2 linked regions of the Callithrix jacchus genome follow. The main gene of each other region encodes a partner of the protein of the gene in region 2 in a complex. Links are inferred from orthologs where the notes say so. Each region holds a gene or a part of one and is shown on either strand. Other genes may lie near its edges.

Region 1 (15,464 bases), on a different chromosome or scaffold from region 2:
TCCTGAGACCTTGGATAAAAATGCAGATTCTCAGGCCATGTCTGTGGCCAACTGTTTCAAAATTGCATTTTAACAAGATTCCTAGGTAATTCTCTTGTACCTAAAGTTTAGAAAGCATTGTACAGAGCACTGACCTAGGAAAAACTATTATAGTTTATAAGAAAGTTAAATGTCGTATATTTTTTATATCTTTATTTGAACAAATTAACTATAAAAACATTTATGTGATAACTGAAGAAATGTATTAAGTCTATATAAGATGATGATATAGAGTTATTGTTAAAATTTTAGATGCAATGTTATTGTGATTTTTTTAAAGCCCTTAACTCCCAGAGAAGATACATACTGAAGAGTTTAAAATAATCTAAAGCATGGGAGTAGAAAAAGTATAAAGTATGATTAGTTGTATACTGACAATTTTGAAGCTGAGTAGTGGGTATATTGGGATTTAGTATACTGACTTTTTAGGCTGGGCACAGTGGCTCATGCCTGTAATCACAGCACTTTGGGAGGCTGAGGCGGGCAGATCACAAGGTCAGATGTTTGAGACCATCCTGGCCAACATGATGAAATCCTGTCTCTACTAAAAATACAAAAAAATTAGCTGGGCATGGTGGCATGTGCCTGTAATTTCAGCTACTCAGAAAACTGAGGCAGGAGAATCAGATCCCAGGAGGCGGAGGTTGCAGTGAGTCGAGATCGTGCCACTGTACTTCAGCCTGGGTGACAGAGCGAGACTCTGTCTCAAAAGAAAAATGTATTTATACACCGACTTTTGTGAATGTAAGTATTAGTTTTTTTTTAAAAAGGCATAGAATTGTGGTTTAAAATGGCAACGTTAAAGGTGACAAATCAACTTTTAGTGTTCAGGCAGTTATGAAGGAAAACTTTCAGGCCTGCAAGGATACATTTACAAAACGAATAATGTAAAACTATGAAACCTGAAGGGAGGGATTGAAACCACCTTTGCAAAAATCATAACTGAGAAAATTATGGCACTTAAAGAGATCTAACCTAACTGTGACTCCATCTTGCTTCTAACCCTTAAGCTGTTCTGGTTCATTCCAGGGCATAAGCTGAACTAACTTTGGGAGGAACTTTGTTTATAGTTTAAAATAAAGACTATAACAGATTTTCCCGAAACAAACCTCCTCCTTGCCTGGGGACTAGACTGCCTTTGTGGGACTAAGAAACTTCCTATGATTTCATCCCTGAACCAGTCAATCTGTACTTCTGATTCACTGGCCCCCTACTCACCAATTTATCCTTAAAATCTCTGATCTCCAGAAAATCTCTGATCTCGACTCAGGCAGGTTGGCTCACTCCTGTAATCCCAGCACTTTGGGAGGCCGAGGCAGGCAGATCACCTGAGGTTGGGAATTTGAGACCAGCCTGACCAACATGGAGAAGCCCCATCTTTACTACAAATACAAAATTAGCTGGGTGTGGTGGCGCATGCCTGTATTCTCAACTACTTGGGAGGCTAAGGTAGGAGAATCTCTTGAACCCAGGAAGCATAGGTTACATGAACCGAGATTGCACCATTGCACTCTGGCCTGGGGGACAAGAGTGAAACTCCGTCTCAAAAAGGAAAAAAAAAATCTCTGATCTCTGAGTTTTGGGAGAGACTGATTTAAGGAATAATAAAACTCCAGTCTCCTGCATAGCCAGCTCTGTGTGAATTACATTTTTCTATATTGCAATTTTCCTGTCTTGATAAATCAGCTCTGTCCAGACAGTAGGCATGGTGAACCCCTTGGGCAGTTACAAAATCATATCTGAAAATGTTCTCAGTATCATAGCCATTATATCAAATCAAATGTCATCCATTCTACTTGAGTAATTCAGAGAAAGCAGGAAACAGTGTTTCATTACAGAAAGATGTTAAATATATGATTTGCTTCCTGGGCCTTAAATGTAGAAGGACATTAAAATTGGCCATCATTGGCAGGGTGTCATTGGCTGGGCGCAGTGGCTCACACCTATAATCCTAGCAGTTTGGGACCAAGGTGTGCAATCACTTGAGGTCAGGAGTTGGAGACCAACCTGGCCAACATGGTGAAACCCTGTTTCTACTAAAAAAATATATAAAAATAAGCCAGGCATGGCATTGCACACCTGTAATCCTAGCTTCTTTGAAGGCTGAGGCAGGAGTCAAGATCCTGCCACTGCACTCCAGCCAGGGTGACGGAGCAAGACTTTGTCTCAAAAAAAAAAAAAAAATTAAAAATTAAAAAATTAAATTGGCTATCTAAAAGTGAAATGCCTTGTTAATGCTATTCCTTGCAAATGAATTAAAACTTGAACTGCCACATCCTGAGTGTTACTTAGATTTATAGCAGTTACAGTTATCTCACCTTTAAGGTAAACTTTTTTAGGTTGCTAAAGCTAATTTGTGTAATTTTAAACCTCAAAGACAGCACCTATGAAGTCCTTGATTCTGCATGTGTATTTTAACTCAACTACTCCTCAGTAGCTAAGGCTTCCACCAAAACAGTTCTCCCAATACTCTTAACATTTGCTGTGTATTAGAATCACCTGGGAAGCTTCTAAAATTGACTCTTGCCCAATCCTCACCCCAAGAGATCTGGATCAATTGGTTCAGTTCAGTGATTCACAAAACTTAGCTGCCTAAGATTACCTGGAAGGCTTGTTGAAACACCAATGCTGGGCCCATCCACAATTTCTGTTTTCTTTAGGTCTGTGGTGGAGCCCACAGTTTGCATTTCTACCAAGTTCTGAGTGATGCTGCTACAGACAGCCCTCTTTGAGAACCATTGCTGTAGTTTTTTAAGCTACCCAAGCGATTCTAATGGCAGCCAGGGTTGAGAACTGAGGGCTGCTTGCTTTGTAGTATAGCCCTGTGATAAAGTGAGCTGGGAGTTTTCAGCTTTTTGGCCCAAAGTATTGCATATATTCAAATTGTAGACAGTAAAATTGATAGAAGTAGCACTTTGTTGGTTTTAGGAGGTGTTCCTTCACCATTGGTGTGACAGACTAACATGGGTAACATTAATGACCAAGCAAGAAACTCTGGTGAAGAGTAGAGCAGCTGTGTGAAGTATTGTGGCTTGCATAATTTTGAAAGGAGGGCAAGTGAGTAGATTCAGAAATGAGACTGAGCTGATGGGGCCAAAACCAAAGCCACTCCTCTGACTTCCTCCAAGTGGTCTGGAGGACATATCATTGCTCTCCTGTGTTCACAGGGTTAAATGAGGCTCAGTATTACCAGCGGGGAAAGAGATGTAAAGAATGTGCATTATAATCATCTCTGTAGTTGAATGGAGACTTCTATTGAAAGAATTCTGGCATGGGGATCCCTGTTTATACATTGCCAGCTCAGTTCTCATAGTATAATCAGAGGATTCAAAAGTTCAATACAACTTGCATATGTGATATCACTACTGTCCCCAAAATTGAAGAATACAGATTTATCATAACTTTAGTGATTTCAGCTGTTTTTCTCTGATTTTTTTTTTCTAGGACAGATCTCTTTCTAGTCTGATTGATCCCATTCCCTTTTCTTGTTTTTTTGTTTTTTTGTTTGTTTGTTTGTTTATTTGTTTTTTGAGGCAGAGTTTTGCTCTTGTTGCCCAGGCTGGAGTGCAATGGCACGATCTCAGCTCACCGCAACCTCCGCCTCCTGGGTTTAAGTGATTCTTTTGCCTCAGCCTCCCCAGTAGCTTGGATTACAGGCATGTGCCACCACACCCAGCTAATTTTTTTTGTATTTTTAGTAGAGATGGGGTTTCTCCATGTTGGTTGTTGGTCAGGCAGATCTTGAACTCCCAACCTCAGGTGATCCGCCCACCTCGGCCTCCCAAAGTTCTGGGATTACAGGCATGAGCCACCACGCCCGGCCATCCCATTCCCTTTTCTAAAAGGGGGGTATTAGACTAGATCTCAGGGATACTTCCTAACACTCACATGCTAAGATACATCATTTAAAGTTTTTAAGTATATATGACTAAAGATAGTTTTTAAGTTGATATGAAAAAAATAAAGATTTCTTCTCTTCTTCAGCCCAGTCTTTTCTTGTGTCCACTTTTTATATACATTACATCTGAGATCCTATTGTCAAACCACAGAGGGGTGGGTGAATTGCCTGGACTGGATGGAGCAGTAGTACGTTAGGGAGTTGAAGCCATCATCACCTTACCTGTCCAAAGGTGGATGAGTGTGAGAACTTCAACAGATAGTTGAAGTTCTCTACATGTTTTTATTTCTCTACATGTTTTGCTTTCCAAAAGTATTTTGAATCAGCTATGCTAATTAAGGGGTGCAGTTTTATATTTTGCTTTAAACAGTTGATTTCCTTTTATATGTGATCCAATAAATCTTAATCATTAATAGTGCCTTTCAGAATTTGCCCACTCATCTGGTATAACTAGTTCTGATGGCTGGGAATAAAGGAAGAGGACGTGCTGCTTATACCTTTAATATTGAAGCTGTTGGATTTAGCAAAGGTGAAAAGTTACCTGATGTAGTGTTGAAACCACCCCCACTATTTCCTGTAAGTATATGAACAGTTGAATTCTCATAGTGTGTTTTTTTATTTTTCAGAGAATATTAAAATTCCATATAGGACTTGATATCATCATTATGTATTCTCAAGTATAAGAGTGTGTTTCACTTACCTTTAATTTAAATATTTCTATGATCTGCTTTCTTAAAATATAGAAAACAAAACTGTATACATCTTTCCATGAATATATGTGAACCAATAAAGATTAGTTTTCAATTCTTACAACTTCTGTTGGTGTTATTGATCTATTCCAATGTCAAAATAATAGTTTAAAAAGCCATTAGGTTTTATAATGGTTCTCAGTTCCCACTCTATCATGACTTCACTTAATGATTTTCTTCTCGTCTTGTATCTATAGAATTTAATTTTGCTCTTTAGTATACCACTTGACTTTTTTTCCCACTGAACTTTTTTTGCTTAGTGTTGTTTTAAAATTTAGCGAGTATGCTGGAAGCATAATTTGCATAACGTGTTATGTTTCACTTTATATTTAGTTTAAAATGTATCCAGGGATCTACCTGTCTCACACAAGGAATTTCTGCATTTTGCTCTTGATATTTTACCTTTTTGATATTTAGCACAACATAAAAACAAAGACAAATACCTCAGGTATTTGCATAATGTCACTTTACAGTGATCTTTAAAACAAGCTCTTTTTCATGTGTGAGATTACTTCTAAACAGTGGGGACGTTAGTACATAGTATTTCTTTATACCTGGAATAAAATTAAAATTCCTTACTACTCGATAAAAGGCTCTGCCTGATCTCTCTGTTCTGATGTCTCTCTGACTTTTTTCCTACCACTGTCCTTCTCATTCCCCAGCTAAGCTCGTCTCCTTGTGCCCTCAGGCCTTTGCCCCTCCTGGTTCCCCGCTGGAACCATCTCTTATCTTCAAATGGATGGCTCCCTGATTTTATCCCAATCTACTCAAATGTGACTTCCCCTAGCGGCCATGTACCCTGTGTAGATTCCACCTCCATCCTCCATGCTCTTAGTAGTCACTTCCTTTACCCACCTGCATTTATTTTTATGTTATTTATCACTAAGTGAAATTGTATATCACCTCATTTGTTTACTAATTTGTTGTGTGTTTCTCTCCTAGAATGTAAGTTCCCTGTAGGCAGGGACTTTGACTTGCTTATCATGGTATCTTCTAAAGTCTAACCATGTTAGGTACTCAATAAGTAGTTATAGCATGAATGAATACATTCCTAATCAAATTTTGAAAATGCATTCTATCTTTATCCTCTGAGACTAGAAATGTCTTTACTGTGTACACTAGAGACCCACTTGTTAATGAATATATTTGTGTAAATATATACATACATACAAATGCATATTTGCATGTATGTATATGTGTGTATAATTTTTAAAACTTGAAATGCAGCTTCAAACTCTGTCTTTGCAATTTATTCATTATATGGGCTTACAAATTGTTCACTTCTCGATTTCTTCACTGCAAACGGAGAAATATTGGTAGTCCTTTCAATGAAATAATGGGTGTTGAATATTGAGTACATCCTAGTCACATTAACCACTTACTAAATAAAAACTGCTGCTTTTTTTTCCCCCAGTAACACCATCACTAGTTGAGGTTAATAAGAATCTAAAGCGTCTGCTCTCATTTGGGTACCTTAATTTTTTTTTCTTTCTTTTTTTCTTTTTGGTACTCTAATTTTTAAAATAGAGAATCACATAGGTCAACAGACTGTATGGCAAAGTGGTTATTGGGTGTAGTTTCAGGGCCAATAGGAAAATAGGCATCTTTCTTATCTCTAAGATAAGAGCAAAGTAGGAAATGGGTTAACAGGTTAAATAGACTACAGAAGTTCATCTTTTAAGTTGATTGTAAAACTTAGTGCCTGTAAAACATACTATTTCAAGAAAACTGCTGTTTTCTGTAATACAGATAAAAGATATTAAAATACATAATTTATTTTTTAAAAACCTTTATCTCTTAATTTAAACAGGTTACAGATTATAAACCCGTGCCACTGAAAATGGGAGAAGGTGAAGAATATATGCTGGCTTTGAAACAGGAGTTGAGAGAAACAATGAAAAGAATGTCTTATTTTATTGAAACACCTGAAGAAAGACAAGGTACCATATTGAAGTCTTTGATTATATGGTTTAATGTGTGCAGATGAAACAGTGTTTAAGCACAAGATATAGAATCATTTAATGATTGATTCAACTCAATAAAAAATTAAGTACTTTGAAAAAACACATTTATGTTGATTTAACAGAAAACATACTTTAAATTTTTTGATATTTTTAGAAATTCACAGTAATTTTATATGTTAAATGAAAATTATGAAAAACAGGAAAATTTTAAAAAGTAAAAATTACCCATGCTTATGTCTAGAGAACCACTATTAATATTTATTATATTCCAGATTTTTTCTTCTGCATGTATATTCTCTTTATAAAACTGGTTTCGTATTACTTTGTATCTTCCTTTTTTCACTCAGTAGTATATTAGCATTTTTACATATCCTTCTTATTTGTGGGAAATATGACTTTTAATGACTCTGGTAGTCTACTCTGTGGATATAATATTATTAACTGAACTAATTTTCTGCTTTTTAAAGATTATTTCCAGTTTTTTGCTTATATATAAAATGTTGTGATTATTATCATTATACAAACCTTTATGCATGTCTCTGATTATCTAATATTTAGGTTAAAACATTTTTAAGCCTTGATTTTTTAATATATATATTATGAATTAAAATATGTATTCATTGGTGATACTTAAGGCAGAAAAGAAAAATTATATTTGGAGAGTGCTTGACAGTCTCAGACTAGAAATGGGAAGTGGTTTTACAGGAAAGGAAGCCATTCCTGAGTAGCTATTTAGCACAGCAGTACTATATTGATTTTTTACTTTCTGCCCTTGATTGTTGAAATTAGAGAGACTGATATCATCATTGAGTTCGCGAAACACCATCATTAAAACATGAGAAATTCACATAGCATCATATAATTCCATTAGTATTAAAAGTACATTCCATTTTTCCCCTCTCTAGAATAATTTGAATTGGCTGAGTCTAAATAATGAAGCCTTATGTAATAATCTTAGCATGTGCTTATAAATATAGGAAGCACTTTAGATAAGTTCATTTAATTCTCAAAACACAGCTGCTTGAAGTTTTATAATGGTTCGATAAGAGATATTTTATCTCAAAAATACTTAATTTTTTTTTTTTTTTTTTTTTTGAAATTGGAGTCTCACTCTTGTAGCTCAGGCTGGAGTGCAGTGGTGCAATCTCGGCTCACTGCAACCTCCGCCTCCTGGGTTCAATTGATTCTCATGTCTCAGGTTCCCAAGTAGCTGGGATTACAGATGCGAAGTACCACGCCTAGCTAATTTTTGTATTTTTAGTAGAGACAACATTTCACCATGTTGGCCAGGCGGGTCTCGAACTTCTGACCTCAAGTGGTCTGCCCACTTCAGCCGCCCAGAGTGCTGGGATTACAGATATGAGCCACTGCACCCAGCCTAATACTGAAATTTTTAACTTTCATGATTATGTTGTATGCCTTCATCTGTTTGAGTTCCAAAATAAAACTTCTCATTTTAAAGATTTTAAAAAGACCAAATGAACGAATCAATATTCACTCTTATAAGAAAAAATACTAATGCAAGGTACACTTTAGTCCTTTTAAAATTGATCATTTCTCTATGGCACAGATTTACTTAACTGAATGTGGTCGTTATTGAAACACGTCTAATTTAAAAGTACATCAAATCAGGCCAGGTGTGGTGGCTCACTCTTATAATCTGAGCACACTAGGAGGCCGAGGTGGGCAGATCACCTGAGGTCAGAAGTTCGAGACCAGCCTGGCCAACATGGGGAAGCCCTGCCTTTATTAAAAATGCAAAAATTAGCCAGGCGTGGTGGCATGTGCTGTAGTCCCAGCTAATCAGGAAGCTGAGGCAGGAGAATCACTTGAACCTGAGAGGTAGAGGTTGCAGTGAGCTGAGATCACATCACAGGACTACAAGGGAGACTGTCTCAAAAAAAAAAAAAGTATATCAAATCATTAAAGCATTTATGAGCCTTTTAGACAGGGATATTAAAAACATAATTTTGTTGTTGATCTGTGGGAGTGGTTGGCTCGTACATGGATTAAGGGAGCCCTTTTATCTTTGATAACTATGCAATAAAGTATTTAAAAAATGTAAGGGTTTTTTTGCTTTTATTTCTTTCAGGAGAAAATTCTTGTATGAAATTTCCAAGCTGATACAAGCACATTCTCCCTGAGATCTTCATGTTTACTTCTGCCTTTTTTTAATTGTTTTATTTTTCATTTTAGAAATGAGGTCTCGTTTTGTCACTCAGGCTGGAGTGCAGTGGCACAATCATAGCTCACTGCAGCTTCCAAACTCCTGGGCTCAAGTGATCCTCACACCTCAGCCTCTTGAGTAGCTAGGACTACAGACTCACACCACCATGGCCAGCTAATTTTTTATTTTTTTATTTTTTGTAGATGGGGGTCTCACTTTTTGGTCATACTGCTCTCGAATTCCTGGCTTCAAGTGATCCTCCTGTCTTGGCCTCCCAAAGTGGTGGAGTTACAGGCATGAGCCACCACACCCAGCCTAAGTCTTTTTCTTAATATTGTGTGTTTAAAAAATGAGCTCATGTTAAAAATAAAGGTTTTTCTATAAAATACATACATTTATAAGTGCATATATAGGTTTAAATATGTATATATGTGCATGCATAAATGTATATAATAACCATGCTATGAGTGAAGCAGAATTGGCCAGACTCAACAGAACTACCCAAGTGTCCGAGAGAACTATATTCTGGATAGAGATGTTGCATGACTGCAGTTTTGCCAGGTGCATCACTTGCCACCTGTGTGCTTTAGGAAAGAGAGACTTACCGACTACTGTAAAGCACTACATAACTAGACATCAGGACAAACAAATAGGGTAGGAGATCTCAAGACTTCCTGATAGTCAAGTGACTGCTGACTCAGGGCATTGAGATCAGTCCTGAAGAACCTAGGGCATGGAATGAACTTATTTCATGTTGTGATGTCTTCAAAGTTTGTTTTTAGTGTTTTCAGGTAGAATTTTAGAAATGATTAGTATTTTCTTTGCATTGAAATTTGTTATTTATTTAACAAAGGAAAAACACCAGTGAACATTATTTTAGTTCACTGGTGTTTTTCCTTTGTTAAATAAATAACTGTAGCTGTAAGAGGATGTAGAGATCATCTGGTCTAGTGGTTCCCAGCTCAGGTCCTGAACCACTGGGTCCTTTGAGGTAAGAACATGATTCTGATAGTGGTAATGGTGTAATAAGCCATTTTCAGAACTTAAAGCTAGATGGAAATTATACATTTACTTAAATATGTCCACAGGTCTGTTACTGAGTAAATGGAATTTGGCTTCCTAATTCTTGTTATACCATCAGTGTCCATGAGACTCAATATAAATTTTTGAGGTTTTTTTTTTTTTTTTTTTTTTGGAGCAGTTCCTATTGTTTGTATGATTGATACTCATAACTTTTATTCTTGCATAGAGATTTTCTAAAGAACAAGCAGAAATTTACTTAAAAAAGAAAACTCGTTTTATCTTAGCGTGCCATTATCAGCCCCTTGGACCCTTTTTTTTTGAGGCGGAGTTTCACTCTTGTTACCCAGGCAGGAGTGCAATGGCGCGATCTCGGCTCACTGCAACCTCCGCCTCCTGGGTTCAGGCAATTCTCCTGCCTCAGCCTCCTGAGTAGCTGGGATTACAGGCACGCGCCACCATGCCCAGCTTATTTTTTATATTTTTAGTAGAGACGGGGTTTCACCATGTTGACCAGGATGGTCTCGTTCTCTTGACCTCATGATCCACCTGCCTCGGCCTCCCAAAGTGCTGGGATTACAGGCTTGAGCCACCTCGCCCGGCCTGGACCCTTTTATATATCTAAGATAATTATGGAATCTGAGTGATCTTATTTTTTCTCTATCTTGAACTACCTTGCTACTTCATCATCATAGATATTATCTCATCATCATTCATCAGATATTTCCCACTATGCTGAAGAAAAGAATAAATACAAAAAATAGGAGAATGATGAAATTGTGCAGTTGAAATAAAACATCACTATTATATTATATAGTTTTCCTGTTCCTTTCCTTTGGACAAGTTTCTAATGCTTGTCCAAAGTATTACATCTTTTTTTTAAGAAGATATAAAGTGTGCAGAGACCTTCATATTTGTAGTTGCTCTGTTTTAATTGAATACAATTGAAAAATTCAAAAATTTTTAATTTTCTGCTCATAATGTCCAAAATTGACAGAAAGAGACATTCCACAATTCTTAGACGAACCGGAAGATGAATTCAAAGAGATAAATAGCTCTCTGGATGCTAATGATGATGATGAAATTGATTTTATAAGCAAAATCTCAGACTATGAGTCTTTAGTGTCTTCAATGAATTTTTTCAAATTCAAGAATCAATGAGTAAACACTATCTCTAAGAATTAAAAAGGAATTATGGTGGCCTTGTATAGTTAATCTTTGAAAAAGACCTCATCATGTAATACTTTATAACAAAAACCTGGATCATCGTGTTTGCTAAAATGAGGTGATCATTTTTGTTTTGTTTTATGATATTTGTGCACCAAAATTAATTTGATGTTTGTAACTGACAAATGCTGAAAAAGAAGTTGATTGTACAGACATGAAATCATTTTTTGGACTGATCGTATTAATTGGTAATTATAAATTTAATGAAAATATTTTGCAAGTGTAGAGTAAAGATCACTGGACCATCTTCAATGAAATATGAGAAATCAAAGTTTTTAAAGTATTGCATTTTGGTTATGTAAGTACGAGAAGAATTGGAGGTAGTGATAAACTAATCTACTAGAAATGCAGATGATACACGTATGAGAAAAAGAACCAAAAGAAATTATAAGTTAGAACCTATTAAAGATGTGTTTGGAATTGGGGATCAGGATGTACAGAAGGCATATATTCTGGATTTGTGTGTGGCAGTTGATGCACAGAAAAGTGCATTCAAATGACTTTGCCCGTTTTGGTTAAATTTTCCTTCAAAACCACTAAAACATGGAATATAAATTTGAATTTGCTATGCTTAATTACTTAGTAAAGTCTCTAATAGCTTTATTTATTTTCGTTTGAGACAGGATATCATTTTGTTAACCAGGCTGAAATGCAGTGGCGTAATCTCAGCAGTAAGCAGCCTCCACCTCCCAGGCTCAAGCGATCCTCCCACCTGCCATATCTTCCCAAGTAGCTGGAACCACTGGCATGAGCCACCATGCCCGGCTAATTTTTATATTTTTTGTAGAGATGGGGTTTCATCATGTTGTTCAGGCTGGTCTCGAACTCCTGAATTCAAGGGATCCACCTGCCTCGGCCTCCCAGAGTGCTGGGATTACATCTTGAGCCACTGTGTTGGGCCTAGTTTTACTGATTTTTTTTTTTTTTTTTTTTTCTGAGCTTGAGTCTTGCTCTGTTGCCCAGCTGGAGCACAGTGGTGCAATCTTGGCTCACTGCAACCTCCGCCTCGTGGATTCAAGCAATTCTTCTGCCTCAGCCTCCCAGGTAGCTGGGACTCCGTACATAGCTAGGTACATGCCACCATGCCCAGCTAATTTTTGTATTTTTAGTAGAGACAGGGTTTCACCATGTTGGCTAGGATTATCTCGATCTCTTGACCTCATGGTCCACCTGCCTCGGCCTCCCAAAGTGCTGGGATTACAGGCGTGAGCCATCGCTCCCAGCATTACTGATTTTTAAGTAAGGGTTTTACTGAGACATAATCCACATATGTAAAATCTACTTTTTATAGTGTACAATTCAATGACTTTTAATATAGTCACAGAATTGTGCAATCAACTCTGCTATTTAATTTTTTTTTTTTTTTTTTTTGAGACAGGGTCTTGCTCTGTCACTCAGGCTGGAGTGCAGTGGCATGATCTCAGCTTACTGCAGCCTCCTCCTGGATTCAAGTGATTCTCTTGCCTCAGCCTCCCGAGTATCTGGAATTACAAACACACCACACCTGGCTAATTTTTTTGTATTTTTAGTAGAGATGGGGTTTCACCATGTTGGCCTGGCTGCTCTTGAACTCCTGACCTCAAGTAATCTACCCACCCTGGCCTCTCAAAGAGCTGGGATTATAGGTGTGAGCCACTCCGTCCAGCCACTGTCTAATTTTTTAGAAGCTTTTCATCATCCAGAAAAGAAATTCTGTACCCTTTCGTAGTCACTCCCTATTCTTCCCTCCTGACAACCCATGGCGCCAGCAATCTGCTTTCTGTCTCTAGAGATTTATCTGTTCTGTCCATGTCATGTACGTGGAATCATGTAATATGTGTCTTTTTTAGACTGGCTTCTTTCATTTGCCATAATGTTTTCAAGGTTCATCAATGGCTTAGTACATATGAGTGCTTCATTCCTTTTTCTGGCTGAATTATATTCCACTGTATGGATATGCCACATTTTGTTTATCCACTCATCATTTGATGGGCATTTAGATCAGTTCACTTTTGGGCTAACATAAATTATGCTGTCATGAACATTCATGTACATGTTTTGTGTGAACATATGTTTGCATTTCTATTGGAGATATACATAGGATCATATGGTAACTATATTTAACATTTTGAGGAACTGTCAAACTGTTTTCTAAAGTGGCTGTACCATTTTACATTCCCATCAATAATGTATAAGGGTTCCAATTTCTCCATATCCTTAACAACATTTTTTTAAAATTCTAGCCATCCTAGTGGTTGTAACACCGTATCTCATAGTGGTTTTGATTTAAATTTCTGTTATGATTAATGATGTTGGATATCTTTTCATGCTTTTTGTCCATTTTTGTATCTTCTTTAGAGAAATGTCTATTCAGATTCTTTACCCTTTTTTAATTGGGTTCCAATAATTGTTTTTTAATACTTCTTTACTCTTTTATCTGTTATCTTTTTTATTCTCTGTATTTCATTCTTTGAAATTAACTTTAAAATATAAAAAAATGTTCTATTGTACCGAGAGAAAAAAGGGTAAACTTTTTTTTCTGGTATACTGAGGGTTAAAATTATTTAAAATAGGGAATCTGTTTTGGAAAATTTCTAAAAAAAACGAAGTCATTGTGTTACAAATGCTAGGAATCTCTCATTTATGCTGACTTCATTTTACAGATGAAAAACTTGACGAGATTAGTTAAAACGTTTGACCTGATGTCAAGCAGTTAAAATATCTAGAAAACCTGATCTCTTGGTCTCTTATCTAATGCTTATTTTAGTTATCTTTCTCTATACATGATTATATTATTTGGAAGCATATTCTTGACATAGAAGAAAAATCAGTACATATTTGGTCCTTGACTTTACATCTATTCATCTTTAGTATTATCTTCCCTTTTTCATGCCTAACTGCTGAACTGCTTTTTATGATGAACATGGCTTCAGGTTTTGTGTAATAGTGTTGCTTTCCAACTTGTGCTGCTGGGAAATAGTTTGTGCCCTCCTGAGGGGTGTTCTTGTGATGAGGTGGACAAGTCTGAACCAAGAGCCACAATTGTGGCTTTAATGGTTTTGGCAAACTCAGAGGGTCCCTGCAGAGTTTTCAGCAGTTGGCATGGAAGACTTGCAGCTTGCTCATTTATCCCTCAGATCAGTAACCCCTCGCCAAGTCCAACCTTGCCTACTCCTACCCTTTTTCCCATTCTCTTATGTCCAAATGTAGGAAACTCCCTGTATGTGAAATAAAAAATGTTGTCTCTTGTTTTCAGTTATCTTAAAGGAATGGCATAAGTTCAGGGTTACTTTTGATTTTCCTAATGAGCTCTTTATTCTTTTTTCCCCCTAGATATTGAAAGGTATAGTAAAAGATATATGAAGGTGTACAAGGAAGAATGGATACCAGGTAACTACAAAACACACAGTATGAAAACAGTTTTTAAAGCCTGTCTCATATTTTTTTTTTAAGGATAAGTTTTCTATTTTTACAAAAAGAAAATTGAGTCTGGTTCTTTTATTGTGATTAATTAGTAATATAATTCTCTTGGAAACTAAGGTGAAAATACTTTTATGCTAAAACAAGGAAGATTGAAGTGCTTTTGTGGAAGTTCTTAAAATATATTTTTCATAAAAGGACACGGCAAACAAACCCTTTTGATTTTCTAATTTTATTAGCCACAATCACAATTTTAGTTTGAAATGTCAAAAAGCACAAATACTATGCTCCTGAGCAATTTTAGAGCATTTGAAGAGAAAGCAAAAATCTAATTTTAAAGATATTTTAAGCCAAGCTCATGGATCTTCCTTTCTTATCAGCAGGCATAGACTATTTTTACTTGTTAGGTTTCTTTTTCAAAATAACTATATCTAAAAAGAAGCTTTACCTTGGGTATAGACAACTTAGAAGGGGCTGTAAAGGAGCCCTCATCCCACTCATTCATTTTGCAAATAAAAACAGTTGCCATAGAAATAAAGTGACCTGTCAGGACACATGGCCAATACTGTTAGAACCCAGGTCTTCTCATTTTAATTCACATTCTTTTTATGTCTCTGTCCTTGATCTTTTATGGAATCTGCCCTTATGTAAAAACATAAATGACATTAACAGCATTATCATTTTTACAGATTATAGTACTATCTTTTCAATGTGGATAAGTTTGGGCACCCTGGAAACAACTTAGGTCTCTCATTTCTTCCATTTCATTAGTATTCATCCCTCAAATGTTTCTCTTCACATATTCCATCAGGATCTAAAATGAGTAGTTTACAAAAACTAAACTATATTCAAAGCAAAATTTATTAGTTTAGGTAAAATGACTTGAGATTTAAATGTTTTGTAAAAATGCACTGAAATTTTCTTATTAGCAGGTAGTATTTTTATACCAATTTTTCTGTTGCTTCAATTTTCTGCTTAACTATATGCCTAAAAATTAAAAG
Region 2 (16,146 bases):
CCACACCCACCCCGCCATGCAGCAGCTTACCTTCCTGCTTCCTAGCTCTTCCCTTTAAACCACATTGTCTCTTGCCCCTGGGCCTTTGCACATGCTTTTCCCTGCACCTACAGAGCCCTTCACACATGCCTCCCCTGAGCCTTTACTGCTCGCTCCTCCAAGGACTTGGCCGAGGCACGTCTTGGCCAGGAAGCATTCCAGACCCCCTGGCTGCAGAGGATGCGGCCTCTGTCCTCAGGGTCGCTTGGACTCCTCTATCCCATCAGCAACCCCTCATTGCAACTCCTGCTACTGCAGTGTAGATGCAGCTTCAATGCATTTAAATAACTCAAATCTAAAAACTTAGCAAATATCCCCCAAGTAAGGGAGAGCCACCTCTATTCATCTGTCCTTGGACCTTCTCCTAGGGTCCCTGGACCAGGCTCTAGGGAACTTCTCCTTGCCCCTTCCACATATGAAGCTGAAGGCATTTTTGCCTTTTGCCTTCCAAAGGTGTAAGTCCTGGGTTAAAAGGATTCTGAAAGATAAGTTTGGCTACAAACAGCTTTCTCTAAGAAAGGAAACCTGGGCCGGGCATGGTGGCTCACACCTGTAATCCCAACACTTTGGGAGGCCAAGGTGGGTGGATCACTTGAGGTCAGGGGTTCAAAACCAGCCTGGCCAATAAGGTGAAACCCTGTCTCTACTAAAAATACAAAAATTAGCTGGGCATGGTAGTAGGCACCTGTAGTCCCAGCTCCTCGGGAGTCTGGGACAACGGAATTACTTGAACCCAAGAGGCAGAGGTTTCAGTGAGCCAAGATCGTGCCACTGCACTCCAGCCTAGGCTACAGAGTGAGACTCCATCTCAAAAAAAAAAAATAATAATTAGTTGGGCGTGGTGGCAGGTGTCTGTGATCCCAGCTACTAGTGAGTTGGAGGCAGGAGAATTTCTTGAATCCAGGAGGTGGAGATTGCAGTGAGCCAGGATGGCACCACCGAACTCCAGCCTGAGCAGCGGAGCAAGACTCTCTCTCTCAAAAAAAAAAAAAAAAAGGGAGGGGAGGGAATCTGCCTCCCACAGCCTGCAACCAGGGCGGCTGGAGAGTCCTTCCTCGTGCCCGTGGTCCATTAGCTTCCTGGGGAAGGGGACCCTGCCCTGCTCACAGCCCCCAGCACTTGGTCCAATGAACAGCTGCTGAATGACTGAATCTGCGTAAGCCTGGGAAGGAAGGACTGCTGAGCCTATCCACTCATTCACCAAACAGTCACCAGGTACCTGAGTGCCAGGCACTGCACTTGACTGTGCGGCCCAGCAGAGAACAGGAAGAAAAGCTATGAAATATTATCTTGGCGATGACAGGGGCTAGGCCAAGTGTCAGTTACAGCCAAGGTAAGGGCAGAGAGAGGTGCAGGAGGGGAGCCCTGTGTGGAAGGGCAGTCAGGGAAGGCCTCTCTGATGAGGTGACGCTGGATCAGAGACCTGAAGGCAGGGAGAGGTCAGCCATGCAGGGGTCTGGGAGACAGCAGAGGGAACATCAAGGGTTAGGTATCCCAGAACACCAACAGGTCCCAGACTGGCCTGAGTACGCATGGAAGGGACCCAGTTCCACTGCCTGCAGCACCAGCAGCAGGGGACAGAGGGCAGTGGTTACCTCCTGTATGACTGGGTCATCCTCTTCATTGGCCATACTAAGGGAGAGCCAGCCGTGCAGTCTTTGAGCTCGATCTGCAAAGGAGGGCGAGAGACTGAGACCATCAGTCGTTCAACCAACATTTCCCCGTGCCTATTCTGCACTGGGAGGGGAAGTGCACAACAAACGAACCGACTTTTCTACATCTACCGTGAAGTCACCAGTGGACAGCCAACCCTATACCCTATCAGCCAGAAGAAATAAAAAAAAAAAAGAAAAATCCAAGCAGCAGGTAAAAGCGGGCAGAACAAGCCAATACGTGTGGGGTGCACCTGTGGGGAAAAGCAAATGACTTGGTTTTGTTTTGTTTTGTTTTGAGACCAAGTCTTGCTCTGTTACCAGGCTGGAGTGCAGTGGCATGATCTCAGCTCATTGCAGTCTCCACCTCTCGGGTTCGAGCAATTCTCCTGCCTCAGCCTCCCAAGTAGCTGGGATTGCAGACATGCTCCACCACACCCTGAATTTTGTCTTTTTATTTACTTATTTTTATTATTTTTTATATATTTTTTATTATTTTTATTTTAACTCTTTCTTTTAAGACAGGGTTTCACCATGTTGGTCAGGTTGGTCTTGAACTCCCAACCTTGGGTGATCCGCCCGCTTTGGCCTCCAAAGTGCTTGGATTACAGGCATGAGCCACCATGCCGGGCCAATTTTTGTATTTTTAGTAGAGATGGGTTTTACCATGTTGGCCAGGATGGTATCAATCTCCTGACCTCATGATCTGCCCACCTTGGCCTCCCAAAGAGCTGGGATTACAGGTGTGAGCCACTGAGCCAGGCTGCAAATGACTGGCTTTAAGGGTTCCTTCTCTACTCACAGAGAATTCACTGCCAGACAGAAGGATGGAGGCTGGCTGGTCCCAGCCATGATTAAAACACTGGAGAACTGGGAGCCCTGGGGAAGCTTTAAAGAGGAGCCAGATGTCAATCAGGAAGACAGACAGTCCAAAGCTGTCTCTGATATTTGATTTTCAAGCTGACTTTAATTCGAATCTGAGATGACACTTCTGTGTTTTTGGTCTATAAATGACCTCTTCACACACTCTTCTCTCCTGTATTCAACACAATGACCCTGTGAGGTATGGTGATTGTCACTGTTGTATAATGAATGGACTAGAACTCAGATACACTCTGCACATTTTTACCCGAAGTCACACAGCAAGCAGGATGATGAACTGGACTTCAAATCCAGGCTGTCTGACCTCAGGTGACAGGTACAGATAGGGGAGTTCAGAGGCAGGGCCTTCCTGCTGGGAAGGTGGCACATGGGGTACGCCTGGAAGGAGATAGGGCTTTGGACAAGCATGACAGCAGAGGGGAGGAGGAATTCCAGGTGACAGAAAGTGCCTGCAAGAGCAGGTCTCCAGGGGGCAGGTTGAGTATTTCAGCTGGTCAGCACCTTTACATACCCAAAGAGAAGAGTGGTAGTCATAGGTAGGATGGTACTCAGGCACCCACAGGCCTCAGCAGTTCCCAAACCTCTGCTCTCGGTTGAGATTATTTATTTTTTTTTTTGAGATGGAGTGTTGCTGTCGCCCAGGCTGGAGTACAATGGCGCTACAGTTCACTGCAACCTCTGCCTCCCGAGTTCAAGTGATTCTCCTGCCTCAGCCTCCCAAGTAGCTAGGATTACCAATGTGCACTACCTCACCTGGGTAATTTTTGTATTTTTAGTAGAGATTTTGCCATGTTGGTCAGGCTAGTCTTGAATTCCTGGCCTCAGGTAATCTACCCACCTTGGTTTCCCCAAGTGCTGGGATTACAGGTGTGAGCCACCATGCCCAGCCAAGACCAGCATGACTTCTGTCTGATCCACTTACCACTTGAACTAATATGTATTTATTTATTTATTTAAGACATGTCATGCTCTGTCGCCCAGGCTGGAGTGCAGTGGCCTGAATTTTGACTCACTGCAATCTCCACTTCCTAGGTTCAAGTGATTTTCATGCCTCAGCCTCCAAAGTAGCTGGGAGTATAGGCATGCACCGCCCTGCACAGCTAATTTTTGTATTTTAAGTAGAGACAGAGCTTTGCCATATTGGCCAGGCTTGTCTTGAACTCCTGGCCTCAAGTGATTCACTGGCCTTGGCCTCCCAATGTGCTGGGATTACAGGTGTGAGCCACTGTGCCTGGCCAAAAGCCAAAGTCTTTATTATCCCGTGTAAGCCCTAAACAATCTCCTGCCCCTTGACCTGACAGACCTCATCTCCCACGAGTCTCCTACCCTCCTCTCCAAACCTACCTCTAGGCCTTTATAGCTGCTCTATCCCATAATAACCTCCTGGCCGCTCCTTCACCTCTTTCAGGTTTTTGCTCAAATGTCACCTTATGGCTAAGACCTTCCCTCTCCAATTCAAATTGCAAACTGCCTCCTCCACCCCTTAACTCCCTTCTGTGCTCTCTAGCAGATGTCTATCACCGTGTGACAGTTTACAGCTCTGCATCTGTGCCCACCCGTATTGCCAGTAAGCTGTAAGCTATGTGAAGGCAGAGATTTTGGTCTGTTTTGTCCCTTGTGGTACCCCAAGTGCCTAGTACACAGTAGGCACTCAATACATGTTTGTTGTCTAAATAAATAAAGCATGGGAATGCTATTTAATAGGAAGCTACAGAAGGATTTCAGGCAGAGGAAGATCTGGAGGGGGTAGAAAAAGAAACTTAGGAGAAACAGGCTATCCAAACAGTCCCAGAGATGGAGGATGGAATGAAAATCAGAAGTTGCATCTTGTCAGTTTCAAGTGCCTGCTGCTGTGCAGACAGAGGGCAGTGTGGAGGGAGAGCCCAAGGCCCTACCCTTCTGCATCGGCTGCCGAGTGCCAGACATGTCAAGCTCCTGCCTTCTCTGCAGCTGGGCAGTGGACAACCGAGAGGCTAGAGTGCCAGGTGAGCAAGGGGACGATCATAACCACTAAGAGGGTGTGGCCTGGGAGGTTCCCGAGACCCAACAGTTCTTTCTCAGCAACTGTTATGCCCCGTTGGCCTCTGCCCTGCCAGGGATCAGGAAGGATGAGGTGCCCTGTCTGCTGGAAAGCTGGAGCTCCTCCCTCTGGAAAGTGCATCTGAGCTGATGCAAAGAGTGTCACCTCCCTTCATCCTCCAGGCTGAGGTGATCCAACTCAGTGGCTTTCAAAGTTTTCAGCCTAAGACCCACCACAGTAAGAAATTCATCTTAGCCAGGCGCAGTGGCTCAAGCCTGTAATCCCAGAACTTTGGGAGGCTGAGGTGGGTGGATCTCGAGGTCAGGAGTTCGAGACAAGCCTGATCAACATGGTGAAACCCCATCTCTACTAAAAATAAAAAATTAGCTGGGCGTGGTAATCCCAGCTACTCAGGAACATGAGGCAGGAGAATCGCTTGAACCTGGGAGGCAGAGATTGCAGTAAGCTGAGATCCTGCCACTCCACTCCAGCATGGGTGACAGAGCAAGACTGTGTCTCAAAAAAAAAGAAAGAAAAAGAAATTCATCTCATATAAATGGTCCAGTACATACAATTGCATAACTGAAACAAGTTTTCACATAACCATAACTGTCCCTACTATATGTCAGACAGTGATGTTTTCTACTTCATTCAAAACAAAAAAAATGCTAGCTTCAATTCCCCTAAATTGATTTTATTTCCCACTAATAAATCTCAATCTGCAATGTGAAAAGCACTCATCCGAGGCTCCCTACGGCTCCTTATTCCTACTTCCGTCTCCCGGCAACAGCCAGAGTCCTCGTAAAGAAGTTAATCAGGCTGGCGTGGTGGCTCATACTGGTAATCCCAACACTTTAGAAGGCTTAGGTGGAAGGACCACTTGAGACCAGCAGTTCAAGACCAGCCTGAGCAACATAGTGAGACCCTGATCTCTATTACACACACACACACACACACACAGACAAAATAGCCCAGCATGGCCTATAGTCCCAACTTCTTGGGCTGAGGCAGCAGGCTTGCTTGAACCCAGGAGTTTGAGGCTGCAGTAAGCTATGATCACAAGACCTTCCCTCTATTGGGTGAAAAAAAAAAAAAAAAAAAAAGAGCCAGGTGCGGTGGCTGACTGTAATCTCAGCACTTTGGGAGTCCAAGGCAGGCAGATCTCCTGAGGTCAGGAGTTCAAGACCAGCCTGACCAGTAAGGTGAAACCCTGTGTCTACTAAAAATACAGAAATTAGCCAGGTGTGGTGGCTCACACCAGTAATCCCAGCTACTCGGGAGGTTGAGGCAGGAGAATTGCTTGAACCAGGAGGCGGAGGCTGCAATGAGCCAAGATCTTGCCACTGCACTCCAGCCTGGGCAAGAGAGAGCAAGACTTTGTCTTTAAAAAAAAAAAAAAATATATATATATATATATATATATATATATATATATATATGAGGCTGAGCAGAAGAATTACTTGAACCTGGGAGGTGGAGGGAGCTGATATCATGCCACTGCACTCTAGCCTGGTGCTTGGCGACAGAGCGAGACTCTGTCTCAAAAAAAAAAAAAAAAAACAATTTATATATATCTCGTATTATTTCCCTGCTTAAAACCTGTCAACCATCATTGTCATATAAATAAAACCCAAACTCCTTTCCATAAGCCACTCTAAGGCCCTGCATGATTTTGTCTCGATCTTCCCCTCACCATCTTTTTGGCCTGGTAGCCAGTTGCAGGGCTTCCAAGAAGCCAAGTCCCAGTTCACCCCAAGGTCCTCTGCACATCATCTATTCCCCACAGGGCTTTCCAAGGTTGCTCCTTTTTATTAAATAGCATCATCACCGTCTGCAGCTGAGGATAGGCTCCCTGACTCCTCTATTTTAAGAGCCTTCTCCAACCTCCTCCTAGGCACTACACCACATCTCTGTTTGCTTTCCTCAGTGGTTCTCATCTTAATCTGAAACTACCTGGTCTATTTGCTCAGGTGTTGTCTGTCTTCTGCAACAGAATGTAAGCTCCATGAAGGCTTCTCAGCGCGTCAGTTTCCTCTACTAAATGCAGAGATAATTATACTTTATTTCATCAAAGCTGTTATGGAGATCATTACTTAAAAAATCCACTGCTGTTCTCTCAATATCTAGAACACTGCCTGGCACAAAGTTGACACTCAATATAGTACAAAGAATACTTTATATTTAATCTTCTCATTGGCACTATCAACAGAGATTTATCATCAATTTAGAAATGAGGAGACAGGTTCAGAGATGAGTACGTTTTCCAAGGTGGAATCAAGACAGTAACTCGGGTCTCGCTGATGTCAAAGATCCTTATTCTTATTAACCATTACACTGCACAGCTCTTCAATAAAAGGCAGTATGGTTAAGTGGGTAAGAGCCTGGACTCGAGACCAAAACTGTGCAGGTTCAAATCCCACCACTGCTGCTTCATATCTGTGGCCCACCTGAGTTGTCTACGCTTGGTATCCCTCCCTATTTTCATCCCTGAAGTAGGGAAACTAAATACCGACCTCCAGACGGCTGGGGAAGGGAGGAACAGGGGAGTAAGGACCCAACCTATGGGAAGGTTTGTTACTACTTGACAACATGTTTTCTTCCAATATAAGAGGGTAATGACACTAAGCAACAAGTCAAGCGCTGCAAGCAAGAGCGTCACCTGCTTTCTACTGAGCCGTCACCACAACCCCATGAGATAGGAATTTCTATTATTCCCATTTCACAGATGAGCAAACTGTGGCGATCGATACGATCTCTTCTTTCTGTCCCCAAGCTCAAGGAATTCTAAAGGTAACCCAAAGGAATGACCTTGTTTGTTTACTGACACCTCCTCGGACCGACCGGTCAGGGCCGTATCCTAAGCACAGAGTTGGTTCAGTAAACACTGAATGGTTGCCTGAATAAATGAATGAGGAATCTCGGGCCTCTCCGGGCAGAGGATGATCCGGTTCAGCTGCAAAGAGGGGAGCTCCGGCAAGCGCAGGTGCCGTCCCTGCCCATCCCGGCTGGCCGCCGACCCCGAGCCACGCCGTCCAATGGGTTTCTGCTCCCTCACGGGTGGTCAGGCCCCCTTCTCACGCCCACCACGAAGTTCCTGCCGCGAGCAGCTACCACACCCGACGCCAGACAGGTGTTCCTTCCATAGGAGGCCGCTCCGGCCCGGGTGGGGCAGATCGGCTGGACCCTGAGTCACCGCCGGCAGCATCGGCCGCGGCCTCCCCAACACCCAAGTGTAGGGCCAGGGAGGTCGGTGTCCGGGGTTGGCCTGGTCGACCTAGAGCCGGCTGTCCGTCCTCCCCACCCGCGTCCCAAGAGGCCCCCAGTCCCTACGCACAGCGCGGCGCGGGCCTCCTTGGCCTACTCGGGAATCTAGCCCAGGCCCACATACTGAGTGCTGTCCGGCTCAAGCCCCAGCTAGGGCGCTGCCAAGTCGGGACTCACCTCTCCGCGGGGGCCGCGCGGACGGCGGCAAGAGCCCAGGAACCCGCGGGCTGCAGAGGCGGCGGCGGCCCGGCTCTCCTCTCAGGCAGCGGCCATGTTGCTGGTGGAGAAACTCTGGCGGACACGTGGGGGGAGCAGGCCGGCCCCAGCGCTTCCTCTTACCCACAATGCCCCGCCCCGGGGCACGGAGCTCCGCCCCTCCGCCGCGCCATTTATGGAGGCCATGCCCCGCCCTGCAGCAGGGGGCGCTGATGGCGTGCTCAAAACGGAGATGGCAGTGTGTGCAGCGGAGACAAAAACAATCCACCTTGGCAGCGGTGGGATTCGAACCCACGCCCCCGAAGAGACTGGAGCCTTAATCCAGCGCCTTAGACCGCTCGGCCACGCTACCTAGCTGCGAATTATTTCTTCTAGAGAGTTACTTAATGCGTTTTCTAGAATTTATTCTCGAAATTGAAAGGCATTTTCGCTGAGGTTTTTGTTTTTTTTTTTTTTACTTAACATGTGTTCTGATTCCTATAGAATTATTTTCAAAAGTCATGTATTCGAAAATAAGTACTTACTCCAATCTTTAGACCCAGGTTTGTTCCAAATAGGTTTTACAGCAAAAAGCATTTTTAGAAACTCTATTATATTCTGAGTTGGATGGTTAACCGGGGACCTGGTTAACCCACAAATAATCCACACGACCCTGATTGGGTGTCTCCGGGAGAAGAAATTGATTCGATCAGAAACACGCATCAGAGGATCTACGGCCAAACCCGGGAGCTGGTCTGGGCAGTTATCTCTGAAAAATTATGTTTAAATTTTTACTTACACAACACGCGAATTAATGCAAAATATTTAAACTTTGCAGATGAGGTACAAATCATGTGTTGGAAATTCAGTCCCCAATGTGGCAGTACTGTATGGTGGGCCCTTTAAGGGGCGATTAGATGACGAGGGTGGAGCCTTCATGAATGGATTAATCTATTCATGGATTCATGTATTAACGGGTTAATGGATTAATGGGTTATCTTGGGAGGGGGACTAATGGCTTTATAAGTAGACACCTGAGCTAGCAAGTGAGCAGCTCAGCCCCCTTTCCATATGATGCCTTGTACTGCCTGGTGACTCTGCAGGGGTACCCCACCAGCAAGCAGGCTCTCACCAGCTACATCCTGTTGACCTTGGACTTATCAGCCTCCATAATTGTAAGAAATAACTTCCTTTTATTTACAAATTACCCAGTTTCAGGTATCCTGTTATAAGCAACAGAAAATGGACTAAAACACTATATATATATTTCTAGATCTTTTGCTGTGAATTTATACGGATATATAGAGATATCATAGAATATAGCTTTGTTTTTATTGTGTATGGATTTTAACAAAAATATTGTCACATTATTCGTACAGATCTGCAAGTGGCTGGTCTTTTTTTTTCCACAAGACTGTATTTAAAAATACCTATCCATGGCTGGACGTGGTGGCTCAAGCCTGTAGTCCCAACAGTTTGGGAGGCCAACACGGGTGGATCACCTGAGGTCAGGAGTTAAGCCTGGCCAACAGGGAGAAAGACCATCTCTACTGAAAATACAAAATTAGCCAGGCGTGGTGGCACATGCCTGTAATACAAACTACTCCAGAGGCCGAGGCAGGAGAATCCGCCGAGCCGGGGGGCAGGGGTTGCCGTGAGCCGAGATCGCGCCATTGCCCTCCAGCCTGGGCGACAAGAGCGAAACTCTGTCTCAAAAAATAAAACAAAAACCTATCTATGTGCATATACACAGATATTAAAAACAAAAATGCAGCCAGGTGTGGTGGCTCATGCCTGTAAGCTCAGCACTTTGGGAAACTGAGGCGGGCAGATCATGAGGTCCAGGGTTTGAGACCAGCCTGGTCAACAGCAAAACTGTCTCTACTAAAAATACAAAAAAAAAAAGAAAAAAAAAGAAAAATCACTCATAGTGCCACCACCTGGCATTAAATTAATGACTTAGTATTGTGGCAATTTTTTTCTTTTCTTTTTTTTAGACAGAGTCTTGCTCTTGTTGTCCAGGCTGGAGTACAGTGGTGTGATCTCCGCTCACTGCAACCTCCTTCTTGAGGGTTCAAGCGATTCTTCTGCCTCAGTCTCCCGCGTAGCTAGCTGGGATTACAGGTACACACCATCACATCCCGCTAATTTTTGTATTTTTAGTAGAGATAGTATTTCAACATGTTGGCCAGGCTGGTCTCGAACTCCTGAACTCAGGTGATTCCCTCCCCCCCAACCCCAACACCCTCCACCTTGGCCTCCCAAAGTGCTGTGATTACAGGTATAAGCTACCGCACCTGGCCTCATGGCACTTTTGCTTCCAATTCTTTTATTATGTATATACTTTTCATTAAAAGTTACAAAGATGTTATGAATATGTTGTCCTTTAAAAAATTCATTCAACTGGGTGTGGTGCCTCATGCCTGTAATCCCAGAACTTGGTGAGGCTGCGGTGGCAGTACCACTGGAGGCAAGAGTTTGAGACCAGCCTGAGAAAAATAGCAAGACCACATCTCTTATTCTATTATTATTTTTTTTTTTGAGACAGACCTTTCACTCTTGTTGCCCAGGCTGGAGTGCAGTGGCACAATCTCGGCTGTCTGCAACCTCTGCCTCCTGGGTTCAAGTGATTCTCCTACCTCAGCCTCCCAAGTAGCTGGAATTACCATGGTGCTGGCCACCATGCCCAGTTATTTTTTGTATTTTTTAGTAGAAACATGGTTTCCCCATATCAGCCAGGCTAGTCTTGAACTCCTGACCTCAGGTGATCCACCCACCTCGGCCTTCCAGAGTGCTGGGATTACAGGCATGAGCCACTGCACCCAGCCATAATATTTTAAAATTTTATTAAAAATAGGGCACGTCTCGGTGGCTAGCGGTTGCGACGGTTCACGTGTGTATTCCCAGCACTTGGGGAGGCCAAGACGGGAGGATCAGCTGAGACCAGGAGTTCGAGACCAGTCTGGCCAACGTGATGAAACCCCATCTCTACAAAATATATAAAAATTAGCTGGTCATGGTAGTACATGCCTGTAATTCCAGCTACTCAGGAGGCTGAGGCACAAGAACTGCTTGAATCTGAGAAGTGGAAGTTGCAGTGAGCTGAGATGACACCACTGCATGCCTACCTGGCACCAGAGTGAGACTCTACCTCAAAAATAATAAAAATTTCAAAATAGGCCCGGCATGGTGGCTCACTTCCGTAATCCCAGTACCTTGGGAGACCAAGACAAGCTGATCACCTGAGGTCAGGAGTTTGAGACCAGCTGGACCAAAATGGAGAAACCCCGTCTCTACTAAAAATACAAAACATTAGCCAGGTGTAGTGACACTTGCCTATAATCCCTGCTACTCAGGAGGCTGAGGCAGGAGAATAGCTTGAACCCAGGAGGCGGAGGTTGCGGAAAGCCAAGGTCGTGCCATCAAATCGCACGCCAGCCTGGGCAACAAGAGCAAAACTCCGTCTCAAAAAAAAAAAAAAAAAAAAAAAAAGAAATCTCAAATCTTCTATCATTTTTGTTTCTCTCTGTCATTTACATGGGTTACTTTTCCCATTAGTTCTGTTCAACACAAGGAGTTGAGTCAATGCTTACGGTGACTGAATGGGGGAATTAGGCAGGAACTCCACTGACTCCGGTGATGCTTTAGACACATAAAAAACTGTATAAATCGCCGGGCACGGTGGCTCACACCTGTAATCCCAGCACTTTGGGAGGCCGAGGCGAGTGGATCACGAGGTCAAGAGATCGAGACCATCCTGGTCAACATGGTGAAACCCCGTCTCTACTAAAAATACAAAAAATTAGCTGGGCATGGTGGCACGTGCCTGTAATCCCAGCTACTCAGGAGGCTGAGGCAGGAGAATTGCCTGAACCCAGGAGGCGGAGGTTGTGGTGAGCCGAGATCGTGCCGTTGCACTCCAGCCTGGGTAACAAGAGCGAAACTCTGTCTCAAAAAAACAAAAACAAAACAAAAAAAAAACTGTATAAATCACACTTTTGTAAGTAGAATTCTTGTTTTGCATTGGCTCATATTAGACCTTTCAGGGCCATGATTCGAGTTTCTGGCTAATACTAGTTGGTACACGCCCCTAACATTTGAGCATTCTGTATCTTTCTTCTTCAGTCCCTCCTCAGCCTGGCTTTTTCCTCCCCTCCATCCACTTTTTTTTTTTAAGAGACAGGGTCTTGCTCTGTTGCCCAGGCTGGAGTGCAGTGGTATGATCACAGCTCACTGAAGTCTTAACATCCTGAGCTCAAGTGAGCTTCCCATCTCAGTCTCCCAAGTAGCTGGGATTAGAGGCATGCACCACCACACTGGGCTAACTTCTGTATTTTTTGTAGAGACAGGGTCTTGCTATGCTGCCTAGACTGTTCTCAAGCTAACCTCCTGCCTCAGCCTCCCAAAGTGCTAGAATTACAGGAGTGAGCTGCCACACCTGGCCGTCCATCTCCCTTTAACATATATAATGATATGCAAAGATTTTCTTGTACTAGGAGAGTTGGTTGCTTTTCAAGACATTTTTTTTGTTTAAATACAGAAGCAGCCATGGATGAAGGAGACAGGCTAGGCATTGTGGGGAATTCAAAGCTGAATGTGGAATAACCCATTGAAGTCAACAGAGTGTTCATCATGGTATTTTAGTACCAGGAAGGACTTTTTGTGAGTTTGGTACTGGATTTTCCAAAAGGAAATAACCTCATAGTCAGGGATAATCGCTGGCATCTCTGCCCAGTCTGATCTTTCTTTTTTTTTTTTTTTTTTGATGGAGTCTTGCTCTGTTGCCCAGGCTGGAGTGCAGTGGCACATCTCGGCTCACTGTAACCTCTGCATCTCAGGTTCAAGCAATTCTCCTGCCTCAGCCTCCTGAGTAGCTGGGATTGCAGGCACACATCACCACACCTAGCTGATTTTTGTATTTTTAGTAGAGACAGGGTTTCACTGTGTTGGTCAGGCAGGTCTCAAACTCCTGACCTCATGATCCACTCACCTTAGCCTCCCAAAGTACTGGGATTACAGGTGTGAGCTACTGTGCCCGGTCTCTGGGTCTGATTTTTCTAGGAACTACCTGATCAGCCAGAGAGTGGGTCCCTAAAAGCCACCTTTATGCTGCACACCCCACCCCTCCAGCCATGGCTAGTGGACAGAGGATTCAAGTTGGACCAATCAGATTCTCTCTTGAGAATCAATTAGTTACTGATTTTTTTTTTTTTTTTGGACAGTCTCTATCTATGCCTAGGCTGGAATGCAGTGATGAGATCTTGCTCACTGCAACCTCTGCCTCTCGAGTTCAAGCAATTCTCCTGCCTCAGCCTCCCACATAGCTGGGATTACAGATGCACACTACCACGCCCGGCTAATTTTTTTGTATTTTTACTAGCGACGAGGTTTCAGCATGTTGGCTTGGCTGGTTTCAAACTCCTGACCTCAAGTGATCCACCTGCCTTGGTTTCCCAAAGTGCTAGGATTACTGGCGTGAGCCACCACACCCGGTTTTGATTTGTTAATTTGACTGTGTTGTACTGGAATTAGTCCCTGAGATTGGCTAGAACTAGGAAGGGGGGTTTGGCGTGGCTATATTCTGTGAGGTGAGTTGGAGAGGCAGACAAAAGCCAGTGCATAGAAAACCAGGGAATGAGAGAGTGAGAGGAGCAGAGTCAAGGAAATCCTGATGGTTTTCTGGCTTCCAGCTCCAGACGCTTTCCAAGGCCCAGCGGGATGTCCTCTCTTGGAGGCATCTCTGTATCATTGTAATTCCCTTTCTCTGCTAAAGCCAGTGCTACTTGGTAGCTGTGAGCTGTAAACAAGAATCCCCTCCCCTTTGCATGGCAAAGGCTCAAATGAAGCTGTGTGTATGTGTATTATTATTATTTTTGAGAAAAGTTCTTGCTCTGTTGCCCAGGCTGGAGTGCAGTGGCACAATCATTGCTCATTGCAGCCTCAAATTCCTGTGCTAAAGTCATCCTCCCGTCTTAGCCTCTGTAGTAGCTGAGACTGCAGGAGTGTGACACCATGCCTGGCTGCTTAAAAACGTTTCCTTTTCATGGAGACAGGGGTCTCGCCATGTTGCTGGGGCTGGTCTTGAACTCCTAAGAGATATTTCTGCTAGAACATTCTGGAACAATTCAAGTCTCTTCCTACAAATACATACTGAGCAGGATGCTTAACAGGGAAACAGCTGATCCTGGAAGGCACAGCACCCTTTGAGAGTTTCTTAGAGTCCAGCAGCCCCTTACACAGTTTTCTTGTGACAATCAGACACGAAATCCATGAGCAAGAGATGCAGAATGTTGCATCAGAACCCCCGGCCCTACAGGGTCTGAGCAGCGGGATGCAGGGCAAAGGAGGGCTGGGCTGAAACTCCGACTAGTCTTTGTGTGCCTGTCTCTATATCGTAAACACCAGGCTGTGGACAGCGGAAATGGTGTGGGTTTCAGTTCTGGATCCCCTCCATTCTTTCGTCCCTTACCCTTCTAAAAGGAAAATGCTCCCAAACCTAGCCTGTGACCAGACCTTTCTGTAATAACCTCCTTCTGGAAAGAAATTAGCATTCCTGATAAATGTTCGAGCAGTGAGCTTTTTTTTTTTTTTTGGACTAAGTCTTGCTCTGTTGCCCAGGCTGGAGTGCAGTGACACAGTCTCGGCTCACTGCAACCACTGCCTCCTAGGTTCAAGCGATTCTGCTGCCTCAGCCTCCCAAGTAGCTGGGATTACAGGTGCCTGCCACTACATCTGGCTAATTTTTTGTATTTTTAATAGAGACAGGGGTTTCATCATGTTGGCCGGGCTGGTCTTGAACTCCTGACCTCGTGATCTGCCTGCCTCGGCCTCCCAAAGCACTGGGGTTACAGGCCTGAGCCACCTCACCTGGCCTTCAGCATGAAATATTTTCAAAAGAAAATTTTGAAATTTAAGAGCATTGAGATTTGCACTGGGAAACTAGCTTTCTACTCACTCAGTTGATAGTCATTTGTCAAAAGTGCGGCGACCTTTAACAGAACGTTCTTATTTTGTCTAACAGTGATCATCTAATCATTCTCTTCTCCTGTAAAATGTCTCTAGCAACATAGAAATCAGAAGAGTGGTCAACCTTTTTCGGGGTGGGGAGAGGGTATATTGCCTGGGAGGCGGTGCAGGGGGGCTTCTGTAGTTGTGCAAATGTTCTATATCTTGAGCTGGGTTAAGACACAGATGTGTACAAATGTAAAAATTCATCAACCTGTATCCTTAAGAGTGTGCAGTTTAATCTACATATGTGATACTGTAACACAAAATAAAGTTTTAGAAAATGCCCCTACCAAGTATGAATCTTTGAATGAGCCTCCCAGTGGGTTTACACTTGCAGCAGGACTGTAATAATTTTTGTTTTTGAGACGGAGTTTCGCTCGTTACCCAGGCTGGAGTGCAATGGCACGATCTCGGCTCACCGCAACCTCCACCTCCTGGGTTCAGGCAATTCTCCTGCCTCAGCCTCCTGGGTAGCTGGGACTACAGGCGCGCGCCACCATGCCCAGCTAATTTTTGTATTTTTTAGTAGAGACGGTGTTTCACCATGTTGACCAGGATGGTCTCGATCTCTTGACCTCGTGATCCACCCGCCTCGGCCTCCCAAAGTGCTGGGATTACAGGCATGAGCCACCGCGCCCGGCCATTTTTTTTTTTTTAAGAGATTGGGTCTCACCATGTTGACCAGGCTGGTCTTGAACTCCTGACCTCAAGCAATCCCCTCACCTTGGCCTCCCAAAGTGCTAGGGTTACAGGTGTGAGCCACCACGCTTGGCCAAGACTGTAATAAAATTTTGACATATGCTGTAACAAAACGATTGGAAAAGTTTCCTTTATTAACTTCTCTCGAATCTTTTTTTTTTTGAAATGGAGTCTCTTATTCAGGTTTTTGTGCTGGTAAAAAAAAAAAAAAAAAAACTCATTAAAAAAAAGAAAAAGAAATGAAATGGAGTCTCATTCTGTAGCCCAGGATGAAGTGCAGTGGCGCAATCTCGGCTCACTGCAACCTCCATCTCCTGGGTTAAAGTGATTCTCCTACCTCAGCCTTCTGAGTAGGTGGGACTACTGGCATGAGCCACCATGCCCAGC

Evidence for each region.
Region 1: POLR3E (region 2) and POLR3G share a complex: the UniProt entries of both Homo sapiens proteins name them as parts of the RNA polymerase III complex. The link is inferred for Callithrix jacchus from reciprocal best matches to the Homo sapiens genes POLR3E and POLR3G.

The regions. Positions count from the first base shown.
Region 1 is NC_133503.1:120,268,511-120,283,974, reverse strand, and holds part of POLR3G (DNA-directed RNA polymerase III subunit RPC7), read left to right. Parts: intron 1-4,353; 5' UTR 4,354-4,396; coding exon 4,397-4,513; intron 4,514-6,496; coding exon 6,497-6,626; intron 6,627-14,376; coding exon 14,377-14,433; intron 14,434-15,464. UniProt on the Homo sapiens protein: DNA-dependent RNA polymerase catalyzes the transcription of DNA into RNA using the four ribonucleoside triphosphates as substrates.
Region 2 is NC_133513.1:22,881,800-22,897,945, reverse strand, and holds the start of POLR3E (DNA-directed RNA polymerase III subunit RPC5), read right to left. Parts: upstream 8,151-16,146; 5' UTR 8,035-8,150; intron 1,709-8,034; 5' UTR 1,671-1,708; coding exon 1,635-1,670; intron 1-1,634. UniProt on the Homo sapiens protein: DNA-dependent RNA polymerase catalyzes the transcription of DNA into RNA using the four ribonucleoside triphosphates as substrates.